2 linked regions of the Bombyx mori genome follow. The protein of the gene in region 2 interacts with the protein of the main gene of each other region in a pairwise test. Links are inferred from orthologs where the notes say so. Each region holds a gene or a part of one and is shown on either strand. Other genes may lie near its edges.

Region 1 (7,796 bases), on a different chromosome or scaffold from region 2:
CAAAACGGTCGCGCATCTACTTATAAAGGAAATGTTTATAATAGAAAGTAGATAAATATTCTTTCCGAACTGCGAGTTTTTCCTCAGTATAATATAGTCTGACTTTGTTTAGAATAGGGTTGGTAGTGTAGAGACAGTTCCCAAAAACAATATTGTAGATTTGGAAAGTTCATTTATTATTATGTTACATTGCCTGGGATATGTTGTACACGCTTCAGTACCTTTATTTTCTGATAGTTGCTTACCACGGTTACTCCTAATGAATAAAAATAATTTGTCTACATTTTTGTTTCGGGTTTTATAGATAGGTATTTATTTAGGCATGAAATCTTAAAGTTAGGACTGAATGCGAGAGAACTTAACGTCTAATCTTTAAATAGATTATCAGTATGCATTAGTAATTTACAACAAATAGCTTTGTTTTCAACATGTCAAAGATAAAAACGACCGCCAACATTAAAACCTACACCAATGTCAGGTCGTTATCTGACAATCACCTTTGCAAGATCTTTATTGATTTTTCTATATATATATATTTCTATATATATTTCTCTTTTCTTTGAAAATACCAGCCCAACTTCCGTTTCATTTGATGAGGGAAACTAATTGTTTAATCTGTGGATTATTTGAGATAAATACCGTTACCCTTTTTATGATCGCATTGCGCCAATCACCGCAAGCTGTGTTCATCACTGCGTTAAAAACTGCGCTGATCACTGCGTTATTACACATCTATTCACTTATAAAGTGTAGGCATTAAAAGGGTTGGCGCTATGCTATGCCCTTATTCAAACATCAAATTAAGCAGGCAGGTATCAATGCGTACTCAAAACGTTTTAAAGATAAATTCCACGATTGAAGGATAATGTTTTATACCAAAGTATATTCTGGTAGCTATTCAACATCAGTTGGCCCAAAATTTATGCACACATCTAATTGCAAAACCACAAACCTATTGTATCTAAATCCGGTCGTATTTTGTTAAGTAAAGATTGTATTTACTTCGAAATTTCAAGGTTCACGAAGATTAAAGTTTTCTTATTAGAATGCAATTTATAAGTACACTAACAGTACAATGTATCTGGTCGATGACATCAAGAGCTACGATCTGAAATCAGCACAATGAGCGAAGACGCGAATTTCAAAATAGGGACTTTGTTTCCCAGTAAAGAGAAATCATTGTAATTTATAACCCACAATCTAATGTACCTAGTTCATTATAAAATGGGCTACTTTCTAATATTTATTTTGATTATTAAGTTAGTAGATGAAGGCAATGTTTACATTAAGGTGACCTGGGAACTCATCTGCCTCCGCTAATAATTAAAAAGGTGACTATATTTCGGTGCAACCATCCACTATATCTCAGACAAGAATTAGAGAAGCTCTTAATTGTGGGTCGCATAGAGAGCAAGTGCGCCGTGGGCAGAACACCAGCCAAACGGTCAGATCTAGTAAGAGAAGCACTTGGTGGTAGTCTGTACCATGTGGTCCATGCCACCCATGATCGAACATAGTGGAAGAACGTCACATGTGGTCGCGATCCTCAGCAGTTATGGAACGATATAGAAGAAGAAGATCCACTATACTACCATTTGACAATATATTTATTTTGGTATTGAATTTCTTTCGTTCTAAAAGCTTATGATGCATTTTTTTTATCCAGTTATATTTTATTTTATTTTTTTGTTGTTTTTTCTCCTTAAAAGCAATGATATCAAAAAATTGAAGCGAAAACATCAATGAGGAAAACATTTCATTAATATGGCACATGAAAAGTATTATCTATTTTTATAGTCTGGGAAATCCATATGATGCTATATCAAAAGCATTATGGAACATAATAATAAAATAGGTATATTAATATTATATAATATATTAACAATATTAATTCATGCTTGTGTGATTTAGTATTTCCTGTCCTTCTGTCCGACAGTCCTACGAGCACATCTTGAAATGGTGGTGACAGGAATTAAGACATATTGTTATAGATTTAAAGTACTTGGCTATATCTGTAAGTTGCTTTTCTCAGTTTTGACTATATATGCAAAATGAGTTCTTCAAGTAGCTGTACTGGCAGGAGAGAAAATTCTCAGTCGTCATCCAAAATAACTCCCTGAAGTGCTAATGTGAACTGATATAGGGTCAATACAATCTGCATCACAAGGAAACCACTCAAAATCCCACAGCAATATTAGAGGACATCTTACCTGCTAAGTCAAAGATAATCTTAATATGACTTATAGTTCAATCATATTATTATCAATGTTACGGACACTACAATTTTTGTGATCACAATTCAACACACACCACCATGGCATTAAATCGTAAAATTAGTTTTAATTATGTCAATGACTGAGAACTGAAGAATTTATCAACCGTAAGCTCCCAATACCTCCCAGCTCACATTTTTACTGAAATTGTTTTTTGCACCATCTGTTAGCTTTTTATCTTAATGTTAGAAGTGGCTACTTTTCTTTGTATTTTTCTATGATATTATAAAAAAAAAAAAACTTTTTAAGAACTCACACCAAGAAGAAATAACATCTACCTGATTTTTTTGCCAATATTTTTTTATGGAAATACCTTCTAATTTACTTACAGCTCTAAATGTGAATGTGATTTGAATATTTTCTTCTTAACAATATAAAACTACAGTACAAATAATAAACTTTGATTTTGGTTCATAAATACCATCTATATTTTGTTATTATAAAATTTGAGTTATTATGGTCTAAAGCACTTATGAGCTATTGGTGGCTTACGACCAATATGTCATCACGGTTGCTTAATTCAATATGAAACAATCATTCAATCAACATTTCTGATATTACATTTTCGTTAAGTTGCAATGACAACTGTTCAGTTAACTTGTGTCTTTACTTAAATTTCAATGAACTAACAAACCTATACCCACTGACTGATCAATGGATAAGCACTTTATTTCTAGTTGAAATTCAGAGGTGTAGAGGTGAATTCAAAAAGATGTTAATTTTTCAAAGTTTGTTTTGTAACTGTTGTTGATAGATTCTTTAAACGTAATGACAACCATCATGCCTATTGATGCCATAAAGCAATCACCCTTTACTTAGAAGAGTTTGATAGCCATTGGTCCAATGTATTCAATATTATAAGAGCATGTTGCAAGGTATCAACGCGATTCCAGTAAATGCTTTTAATTTGTAAATTGCTACTTGAGTTTGGCCCTTATTTTAATTTAATGAATCCTATTTTGTGATGGTATTGCACTAAAAATAAAATATGGGTTAGCTTTTTGTATTTCATGTATTTTGAAGTTGCTCACGAAGCCAAATTAAAAATTTACATAAATACAATTTATTTTGATAATTTTTATACAAGACGTAAATAGTACAACATAAGATTCACTGTGAAATCATGTTCGATGTGGTTAATAAAGTGAAAATTATACCTAAATGCAATCATTGTTCTATAAAAAAAAAAACAAAAAACATTTCAATGAGAGATCAGTTAAATGATGTTACAATCAAATTTTAGTAAGACTGTGTCCGATAAGTCTCTGGCATAGATAATCAAACTTTGCAAATTGAAACTATCTTCTGTACAAAATTAATTTTAAACCAGCATAATATATACATTGAAGACTCCAGGTATATTTTCTTTATTCACTATTCATATTAATAGTAAAAAAATATGCATACCTAATATTGTAACCAAGCTACATGTGAATGGGTAAACAATGATCTGTGGGATCGCCTAGCCGTTCCGAGGCGAACAAGGTGAGGCAATGGATAACTGCAAAGGGACCGGCGCCGCGGCCCTCATCCACTAATAATAAAAATTTGATCCACAATAGTCTCTCACAAGTTACTCTGTTTAGGATGTGTAACATAACTTGCACTCATAAGTCGTGATATCTCGTTGGTCGTGTGGCGCGCACGGTCGGCACCGGTGCTCTCGTGCCGGCTATTCAGTTGTCCATGGCGTATCTCCGCGTCCACTCCTTCGCGTTCCTAATAGCTTCACTCTCGTTCACCTTCCACAATTCGGCAACGTCGTTCGCCAGCGGATCGTCAGGGTTAGGTGCTGACAGCAGAGCCTGAATAGACAGTAGCACCGTGCGTATTTGTAGAGCTGGACTCCATTTATCTTTAAGAATGTCCAAACAAATGCGGCCCAGTCGGTCTATATTAGGATGATATATTTTCGTGATAAACCTAACCTTAGGTGCCGACATGGGGTAATCCTCCGGTAGAAATAATTCTAATTTGAACAGTCCTCCTTCGAAAGGCGAGTCCTCTGGGCCCGTCACGATAACGTGGAAGTAACGGGCGTTTGTCTCGCTAGGTACTGCGCTGATCCCGGGCACCGGCTCCTGCATCAATCGCTGTGTCTCTTTGATTATTCTACGTGGTAGGGCTGCCATTTTAAATATGCGGTCGAGCGCAGTTTGTCAAATGGAAGCGATTACTCATATAATTGTATAAAATATCTAATTATATTAGCACTGAATGTGTTAACGACGCTTGTTGAGGCACGTTTCCTTATATTAATGAATTACAATAGCATTTTATCTACGAAATTGCAATAAACGCGACTACAAAAGCGAGTGTTCTTTAGTTTTTTTTAACCACAGATAATATAGATTTTCACCAACATAGACAAAATGTAGAATTTAGAATAGGGTGCGTTCAATATAGATGTCTGGAAAAAAGCCTTTTAAATAAACATGCATTAGTTTAAGACAACAAAAACAAATTGTTTATTAAAAGAATAAAATTCTGTACTAGGTTGAGTACCTGGGACTGAATAGGAATCACACAACATTGTTATACAACTTGTGCCGTGTTTGAAGCCTGCTAAAACTAACTTGTCTTGTTATACAGACTTCAATCTATTTAGAAGAAGGCGCAAAAGAGCTTATGAAAAAAAAGGGAAGAATGAAAGATGTCAGTAATAGAAAAATAGTAGAGAGGAAGAACTGTATTCAGCCCTTAATATAAAATCCAAACAGGAAAGCGTGTTTAATTGAAGAGAACCTACATGAAAGTTGTTAAAACTGTTTCGAAAGTTTCGGAACTTGTTTTTTATTATATTTGTGTTTTATATGCTTCTGAATCTTACGTTTCTACCGAGAGTGAATGGCGCACATGATTTTTTAAAAATGAGAGTTACAGGCTGTTCAAAATTTTATGAAACGTATATTTTTTATTCAGCTGACAGAAAATGATAAATGTGAAAAACGTAGGCTCGTAAACAAATTAGTATTTATTATGAACCTATTGTGAAAATGTTATTTTAATGAACAGATCTAAATAAAATCACTTAGGACCGCGGTCAGCGACATCTAATACAGTTTTAAAAATGACGTGATGTCAGCTACTCGTCAACAGATGTCTAATTTTGTTTCATTAAATTTAGAACATCTATGTGTAGAATCTTCAGTATTAAGACAAATTCTCGTTATCAATGACAAATAAGGTTATTATATCATCGATATATTATAGACATATTATATTTAACTTAACTATCTTAATATGGTTGTTTAATATTTATATGACTTAAGTTACAAGGAACACAATAATAGTATGAGTTACCTAAGTGAAAAAGATTAACTTTTTTTTTTTTTTTCCTACCTAAGCTGATAGCCCTAGCGGCTATGTCAGCGTAACCCTAACTTTAGTAGGTGAGCTCACGGGGCTCAAACCTGACGATGTTGCTAACACGAACCCTAGCAAGAGTCGTGCTTCGCAGAATCTACCACCGGATCGGAAACGCGACCCACTGAGAAGATCCGGCGAGAAACTCAGTGGGCTGTGTCTGAGAGTTAGTTTACTCGTCGAGCCCTTCGTCGCAAGCGACGGGTTCGACGAGAACGGTGACCGGTGCTTGAAGTACCTAAAAGCACCGTTAGTGGATCGGGAGGATCCGAAATGACGTGTAAAGATTAACAATAAAGATATACCTAACAACTCAATGTTTAATAAAATTCTTCTTCCTCGGGTTCTAAAATATCTGTATTTCGTAAGGTCTCCAACGTGGGACGACCTATGTAACATTCATGGAAAATATCCGGTATTAAAGGGAGCAGTGAAATAAAATAATTTTTTTTTCTATATGGATATGGGTAATGTCTGTTCATAAATTACCTATAGGAATATTATCAGGAGCATTGGACCCTCTTCTTTTATAGGTAGATAAAGATAGGAAAAGGCGAATCATCTACGGTGTCTTTTTACGAAATGTCAATTAAAAAAATACTAGTTTAAATTTCATACAGCATAACATACATACATTTTAAATCCATCGAGATACAATAGTATTTTCCTTAGTTTTTCGGTTCGTAGAGGTAATTAAAATCACTTTTTCAGTTTATAATATTGTCTTTATATCATTTCTAACGTTTTACAAACTGTAAACAGTTAAATTGTTACAGTAAAAATATGTAATTTCAATTATATCTATCGAGGTAGCTAGTAGACACTAACCTTCCTAGTTGGGTTAAGCGTTGAGTGCGGCACGCGGGATATGTCGGAGTGAACTAATTAAAGCTTCCTTCCACTCAACAAACACGCATTTAAACTTCTGATGATACAGAATTTATCCGCGGTAGGCTGGGAGTAAGGTGACACGACTAATAAAAATTTGAACGAAATATTCCTTAAACTTTCGGATTGTTAGCATTCAGCTAATTTTCCAATCGTCACAGGTGCGTAGCAGATAAGTTCGTCACCTTCCGTACCTTAATCGATGTAGCCATTGTTATAATATTTATTATCAAGGAATTTATCGCCTCTCGGAGGACATTTGATAGTGTCAATCAGCACTAAACGTATTTTACATTAGGTTCACAGCGCTTTCTACCTATGATGGGTATTTAATATCCCTTTGTGTTGCCTGTGTGTTCATTAGTGAACTTTGATATTATTAACTATCTAGGTACCTACACTTGAAGGTACTTTAATAATTGGTGTTCTAGATACTTTAATTTGATAATAATAGAATACGTTTACTTATGTTGTTAATTAACAAGATAATCAATTTAAAATATGTAAATCTTGTTCTCTCAAGGACACCTATATATCCACAGATATATAGCCCACATATGTCCACTGCTGGATATAGGCTTCCCCATGTCTCGCCATCGCCATCACAAATGAGTCCCGCGCTGTCTACATGCAGCCAATCTCCGCTCCTCTATAAAAATAATAACGGAATATACAAACTTCATGTACCGTGACTATGGCACAATTATATGGCAAAAGTTGGATGCTCTAACACAGCAGTGCATTTGGGCAGTGTACATCTTGCGAGATATGCGGACAAAAGGTGGAAATTAGAAACCACACGATAGGAAGGACCAATGGGTAAAAGAAGAAAAGGCTGACAAAGGAACAGCTGGATGGATGAAATAATAGCAACAACAGGAAAAGAATGGAGAAGCAAGGCCAAGAATAGGGAAAAACGGAGTACGCTGGAGGAGGCCTATACACGAAGTGGGGTTCCAATAACACAAGTGCAAAATGTTCGATATTTTTTTTTTAAAAACCTGTTATTTTCGTAAGGCGTTGGAAATAAAATTTGCTTATTATTATTATTATATTATTTATATGGTGCAAGGTACATAGTCAGGTCATAAATTCTGTCACATGTTTAATGTAAAATAATTGAAACAAGTTTATTCATTATGTAACCATTCATATACGAAAATGAACTTAACAAAACATAAATTCTTATGACACTAAAGTTTATTCAAAATGACCTCCGTGATTTTGAATACAGGCCTTCAATCTGCGCGGCCAGTCGTCTATCGCAGC
Region 2 (6,812 bases):
AATATTGTAGTGCTATAAAGTGCAGAAATATTGAAAAACCAAATTAAGACAATATTTTAATATTTTTTTGAAAATTGCACAGGAAAACTGGACAAATTAATAATAATTGAAAACTGGATCAAACACAGGTGGTAACGTATTGGTAACGGGCGTGTATGAATATCGCGCAGCACTCCATACAACTCGAGGCGCTACAACAAGTCCAATCGGTACTGTCGCGACGTGTCGGCGCCGGACAGTCGACGACACAAGTTTACTTTACACAAATATTAAATGAGTACGTACTTTTCTGCATTCGTAGTCGTTTAAAACGTCTTCTGATTGCTCTACCATTTTATTTTATTAAATTTCATATATTTTTATATTCCTTTTATATTTAAATGTTTTAACGCTACTACAACAGTGATCATTATCTCCTTCAAAAATCTCGCATGTCACAAAAACGTCATATGCTAATTTAACTTTTTATGATACTCCTAACATTGCGCGTCAGCGTTCAAGTTATAAATTGAATCATTACTTAATTAAAGTTGCCGATTTTTTTTAAATTTCAATTTGTACATAAATGTTGCCAATATTGAAATATTACTTTTTCGAAACAGCGAGGACGGTTGAAATTTAATTTGCTTACTGACTCTACGGTAAATTTTCACACGAGACAGTAGATATACTAATCGACATACAAAAATACATTCGGAAGGGCGCTAGTGCAGGTGCACCGGACACGACCGCTGGGCACGCGAGCGCGCATTGTACTGGGGGCCGGGGGGTTGGGGCGGGGGGGCGAGTCAGCTGCGTGGTGGCGCCGCCTCGCCGCGCCGCTCGAGGTACCGCCTGCGCGCCGCCGCCACCAGCATCTCCTTCCTGCGTCTCAGGTTCTGTTCTCGTTCGGGCGCGTTTCTCGAGAATATAGCGCTGGTCGACCCGACGTCTAGACTGGAATCCGAACGTTATTATTTGACGACCTCCACTTTTCGTGAAGTAATAAATTAGTAAGTCTGCCTATTTTGTACCATTGGCACGAAGTTCCTTAGTGAAGATTGGGGTAGGATTCACTGAAATTATCATGTAACGAAAAAACACCAAACCTTTGGTTCTTGACTTAATCATAAACAAAAGCGACCTTTTAAATTCGGGTGCAGTTAGCGATGCATATTTAGTTGACTTCGGCTACACTGAAGTTATTTTCATTTTTATATTATTTTTAATTTGCTTAACTTTAGTGGATATAAATTTTCTATTAAATTCATTTATTATCGAAAATAATATGTGTTTTGTTTTCTTTTGTTTTAATCGTCTCAACGAAAACAAATGAAGAGCAAATAGTAGTTGTGCGCGTTCTGGCTGTTCGAGGCACAGGATGTCTTACACTGTCTCCATCTACATACATATATACATACATATACAGTAAGCGGTGTTTGTATATACGCCGCGTGTGTAGGAAACATAACTAGACGCATTACGTACTTGTCCAGGCCGGGCTCCGCGGCGGGGGGCGCAGGCTCCGGAGCGGGGGGCGCGGGCTCCGGGGCGGGGGGCGCCTCGAGGGGCGAGATCGGTCTTACTGTCGGTGCTTCTGTTCAATTCATTGCCATTTATTATTTAGTAACATTCAACTACAGGTGGTAGAGCGTCTTGCAAGCCTTCAAGGGTATGTATCACCGCCTTGGCGACAAGTCATGTCTTATTTTAATTTTCATTCTTATTTTTTATGAATAATGATAATATGGAGTGAAATGAAATGAAGATAATTAATTTGAGACATTAATCAACTGGGATGAAATTAAATGAAATGAGATGAAATATAATGTATGGGTTGGTACCTGCGGGCGGCTGCAGCCTGCCCTCGAGGATGTTGTCGAGCGTGAGGTGCGCGGAGCGGGTGAGCAGCAGGTCGGCGCGCAGGGCGGCGGGGTCAGCCTGCGGGAACATGCCCAGCACCTGCGCCACCATGGCGTCCAGCTGCGCGGCGGAGGGCCGGGCGCGGGTCACCTCCACGGAGAAGCTGGGCAGCCACGACACGTAGCGGGAGCCTGCAACACGTCATGCTCCACCAGTAACACTACCTACTGTTCAGTTACAGTTTTGACACATCTATGGAAGAGGAGCGATCAGTCAACTTTGCACAAAGCAACAAAAACTTGCAACGGAATGGAAACGTGGAATGCTCCATAAGTCGCTGACAGCACGCGGCGCCGCACAGTGTGCGTGCCGGCGCCGCACAGGGCACGGATTCTTTTCGTCCCAGTAGGCAATCGTTGAATTTATATAATACTGACACACGACAGATTGTATCTAAGTTTAAGTCATGACTGGCGACCCGCGCCGGCTTCGCTCGGGTCGATCAGGAGTCAGTTGAAACTACACTACAGTTAATAAAGCTTTGTATTACTTTTAATATCATTTGTAAATTTATTATTTGAAACAAGAAACAAGTTTGTACTGTTTGTCCCTACAGCCGTTCATTCCCTAGTCTACCTTCACGGGGATGAAATGTCCAGAAACTGTCGTACCGTCGAAGTGGAAGAGGTGGTTGTGCGGCGGGGTTGGGGGCGGGGGCGGGGGCGCGCCGTGTGCGAGGCCGCGGCGGCACGTGGGGCACGACGCGTCCTGCTGCACCCACTGGCATAGGCACGAGCTGCGCACAACACACCGCACTCACTCTACCGTCACTTTATCCTCATGCAATTTAAAACCCGACCATACATCTTAATATATATAAATTACGTGTCACGTTGTTTGTCCGCGATGGACGCCTAAACTACTGAACCGATTTTAACCTTTTTTTTTAAATATGTTTTTTTCAACTTAGACCACATGATGGTTTTTATTTCGATTTATGGTTGTGATATTTATTAATTAACAACAAAATGATTTCTGACGTGACGCCTTAAGTCAGTTTTTACAGACAGTTATAATACTGTCTGACATTAATATCTCATAGATGGCGCTGTGTTAAAAATACCAACGTTTCACATAAGCTACAATGTAACGGCATAAACACCACGTGTTGCTGAGGCTGATGAGATAAGTGAAATTTATTTCGTAGTAAACAGAATACAGTGAGAACCAATTGTTCTTACTTTGTTAATTTTGGGTATTAGCCGGCCACGTGTTATTTAGAAACAAAAACATTAGCCACAGCAACGTGTGGCCGGGTCTGCTAGTTAGAAATAAATTAAGAAACAGAGAAGGCTCTCCGCGGCAAAGGTTGATGCTCGCTCTCTTCTCGTCCCACCTATTTACTACAACATTACTGTGTCCCCTCTCTCCTCCCTGGTGAATTGCAGGAAGATGCATCATGGATGGATTTTTAGTAATATCATATATGGTACATGTATTTCGAAAAAAGTTGAAAAAACCGAAACTTCACAAGGATATTTATGTTCCAGAAAATAATGATTCCTTCGTTCTTCCAATATTTAGATTGTACTCACAGCAACTTACGAGCGCAATAGAATACCTTATTGCACCCGTGACCCGGTTCCGCAGGAGACGACCTCAATTACCGATATACCCCAGCTATTTGTCAACAAAATGACATACTTGTGGAAGAGATGAGAACAGGGCAGTTTCCTAGCTTCCTTCATCGGTTCCCAGCAGATTGCACAATTGTCTTGATTCTTTTCAACCTCCTCTTTGCTTGCCATTGGGTAACTGGAAAGAAAGGTTCATTTAAACCATATTTGTGAGTGTTCTGCCGCAGAATTGGACCCTCAGATCAGCCCTAGCAGCATTTTGAAAATTGAGTCGCGGAATAATCTAATCACCAGGAGTCCACAGAAGGACATAAGCTACCAACATTAGGACAAGCAGCTCGTATACAACCGGTCATCTTTGTTGAGAATGGGATCCGAATGGCGTCCGGTTAACTGCATCTAATACCAGTCACGGAGCAGCCAGAATAGCCCCTTGAGGCTACTCGCAGATAGGTAGATATACAAACGGTACCATTATCACATCATTCATGGTGACTATTAGGTATAAAAACCGCAAGCGATATCGTGCATATCATCATTAGCTCGCCGAAACTATTATAGTTATATATATATCTTTAGTATTACATCTATACTAATATTATAAAGAGGAAAGATTTGTTTGTTTGTTTCGAATAGGCTCCGAAACTACTGGACCGATTTGAAAAATTCTTTTTCCATTAGAAGCCGACATTGTCCCTGATGAACATAGGCTACTTTTTTTAATTTTTATTTTATTTTATTTTTTTGGTTTCATGTGTGTTTTAATTTTTCCGAAGCGAAGCGAGGGCGGGTCGCTAGTAACTATATATACTAGTGGCCGCCATGTAGTCGAAATTCAACTATAATTATTGATTTAAATTATAAGTTTCAACATTTTTATGATTCTATTGTCAAAGACTTCTATAATCACAGATTTCGCCAAGACTATACTATAGATAAATAATATTAAAAACAAACAATATTAATCTATTCTCAATTTGACCACAGACTTTAACAGTAAACAAAAGAGTATATATGCGTGTGTGTGTCAAATACATGGTGTTGTGTGTCATGTTTTTTTTTATTGATTCAATGTATTTTTTATGCACAATAAAAAAAATAGTATTCTGCACTCCTCTATATTCTCTATAAGTGTAGGTAATATCATACTCCTCCGTCCGTGCAAGTTTCGTAAAAAGGGGTACACATTTTTGCTACCCGTATTAATATATAGATATAATAAAAGAAACAAACTCATATGATCTGAAAGGCTATTTCGTGTTGACGTGAAGAACATTACACGCAGCACGTGACTTCTCCCTGCTATGCTATCTTCAAATTGACCAATAAAAAAATAGTTAATAGATAAACTCACAATCAATGATATTTATGATACTATTTATTGAATCGAGAATTTCCTTTTACCAACTTGAGATGCATTATTGTAAAAACCGTGATGACGTCACAGTACCGACAGCATAACAAACGAATAAAACAATAGAAATAAAAAAAATGTATTAGTCACAACACGATTTATTATTGCATTGTTATAATGTTTAAAACTCATTGCTTAAAGATTGTTTCATTATATGAGATATGCATAATTGGCTACATTTTTTACAGCCTTCATTGTTTGTGAATTCCTCAGCGCGCGTTCAAAATTAACATAAGCAATATAACCGAAGCTTACTCTATATAAAAAATGAGTATATGCGATACATCTTGTGCAGATCTGTACACCAGTGAGAAGATTATTCCTCAGAGTCGCCTTGCAAAAGCTCTGGCAAACTATACACTGGGTGTTAGGAGACCGCTTCCGAAAACGAAGACAGACAATAGTACTAATGACACCAATGATGATGAGACGGAAAAAAATTGATCATGATCGGAAAAAAAATCATATTTTTAAAACGTTTTATTAGCGTTATTTAAGCTCCATCATGTTAGTGCAGCTAAATGAAACGACAGTTTCATAAAAAATACATTACTTTACCAAAAAAACAACAACATTGAAACAATAAATCAAAAACTAAACTAAAAAATCAAAAATTTTTTAAATGTTTTTTCCCTTCCCGTCATCAAAGGTGTCATTAGTACTATCGCCTGTTTTCGTTTTCAGAAGAGGTCTACTAACAACCTAAAGTGGCCTAAAGGAAAGACGTCCGGTGCATTCGTGTGTAGCGATGCACCGGTGTTCGAATCTCAGGCGGGTACCAATTTTTCTAATGAAATACGTACTCAACAAATGTTCGCGATTGACTTCCACGGTGAAGGAATAACATCGTGTAATAAAAAACAAACCCGCATAATTATAATTTGCGTAATTACTGGTGGTAGAACCTCTTCTGAGTGCGCGCGGGTATTTGTATTTGTATTTGCCCTGCCTATTTGTATTTGTATTGGCCCTACCTATTTCTGCCGTGAAGCAGTAATGCGTTTCAGTTTGAAGGGCAGGGCAGCCGTTGTAACTATACTGAGATCTTAGAACGTATATCTCAAACTGCGTGGCGCATTTACGTTGTAGATGTCTATGGGCTCCAGTAACCACTTAACACCAGATGGGCTGTGAGCTCATCCACTCATCTAAGCAATAAAAAAAAACCCAGTATAAAAAGATAAATAGAGAAGGTCATTAAATAGCGGCCTCCCTTCCCTTATTGTCCTATTCAGCTGCACATTGTACTAGCTGACTGCACATGGCGCCTCTCACTCAGTCGAGTGGGTGCTGCTGATCTATTGGAGACCTAACTCGGGCTCACACAACAGTGCTGCTTGTTTCTTCTATCTGTGACTAGAATAATGTTCATTTCAATACGATGCAAGCTTATCTCCTGAGACACCGTGAGCTCATCTGCTATCTAATTTAACAACGCTTCAAGCCCGGGGGTCACGCGAGTTCTCACGTGACCTCCGGGACACGGTCTCGCCGGTGCGCACATCACTACTCAGAAGGAAAACCAACAAAATAATCAATACAATAACAAAATCAATAAGCACTTGTATTAGGTCACGTATAAAGAGTTAATGTTGTCACATTAATTGCTTAGTGATTATAGCACTAATAGCTTGAACCATAAAGTCTATAAGTATCGATATCGCTTACAAAATGTAATGACACGCGTTCGTTCATTACAATATGCATTACAATAATGTCCACTTCGATAAAGTGGCACGACACGAGAACCCTCTCATCGTGGCCGCCGGTAACTACATTCCCGATCCTGCGGACAGAATGGAAAGTGGTCGACGTCGCCCCAAACACGTCATTTCGGATCCTCTCGATCCACTAACGGTGCTTTTAGGTACCTCAAGCACTGGTCATCGTTCTCGTCGAACCCGTCGCTTGCGACGAAG

The links. The genes of interacting proteins can lie anywhere in the genome.
Region 1: the proteins of E3 ubiquitin-protein ligase AMFR (region 2) and Ubc13 interact in a two-hybrid assay, tested with the Homo sapiens proteins (2 studies listed by BioGRID and IntAct). The link is inferred for Bombyx mori from reciprocal best matches to the Homo sapiens genes AMFR and UBE2N.

Annotation. Positions count from the first base shown.
Region 1 is NC_085111.1:2,341,528-2,349,323, reverse strand, and holds Ubc13 (ubiquitin conjugating enzyme E2), read right to left. Parts: upstream 4,632-7,796; 5' UTR 4,406-4,631; coding exon 3,950-4,405; 3' UTR 3,270-3,949; downstream 1-3,269. UniProt on the Homo sapiens protein: The UBE2V1-UBE2N and UBE2V2-UBE2N heterodimers catalyze the synthesis of non-canonical 'Lys-63'-linked polyubiquitin chains. This type of polyubiquitination does not lead to protein degradation by the proteasome.
Region 2 is NC_085125.1:14,670,974-14,677,785, forward strand, and holds part of E3 ubiquitin-protein ligase AMFR, read right to left. Parts: intron 3,658-6,812; coding exon 3,547-3,657; intron 2,639-3,546; coding exon 2,514-2,638; intron 2,034-2,513; coding exon 1,824-2,033; intron 1,577-1,823; coding exon 1,468-1,576; intron 937-1,467; coding exon 789-936; 3' UTR 1-788. UniProt on the Homo sapiens protein: E3 ubiquitin-protein ligase that mediates the polyubiquitination of lysine and cysteine residues on target proteins, such as CD3D, CYP3A4, CFTR, INSIG1, SOAT2/ACAT2 and APOB for proteasomal degradation.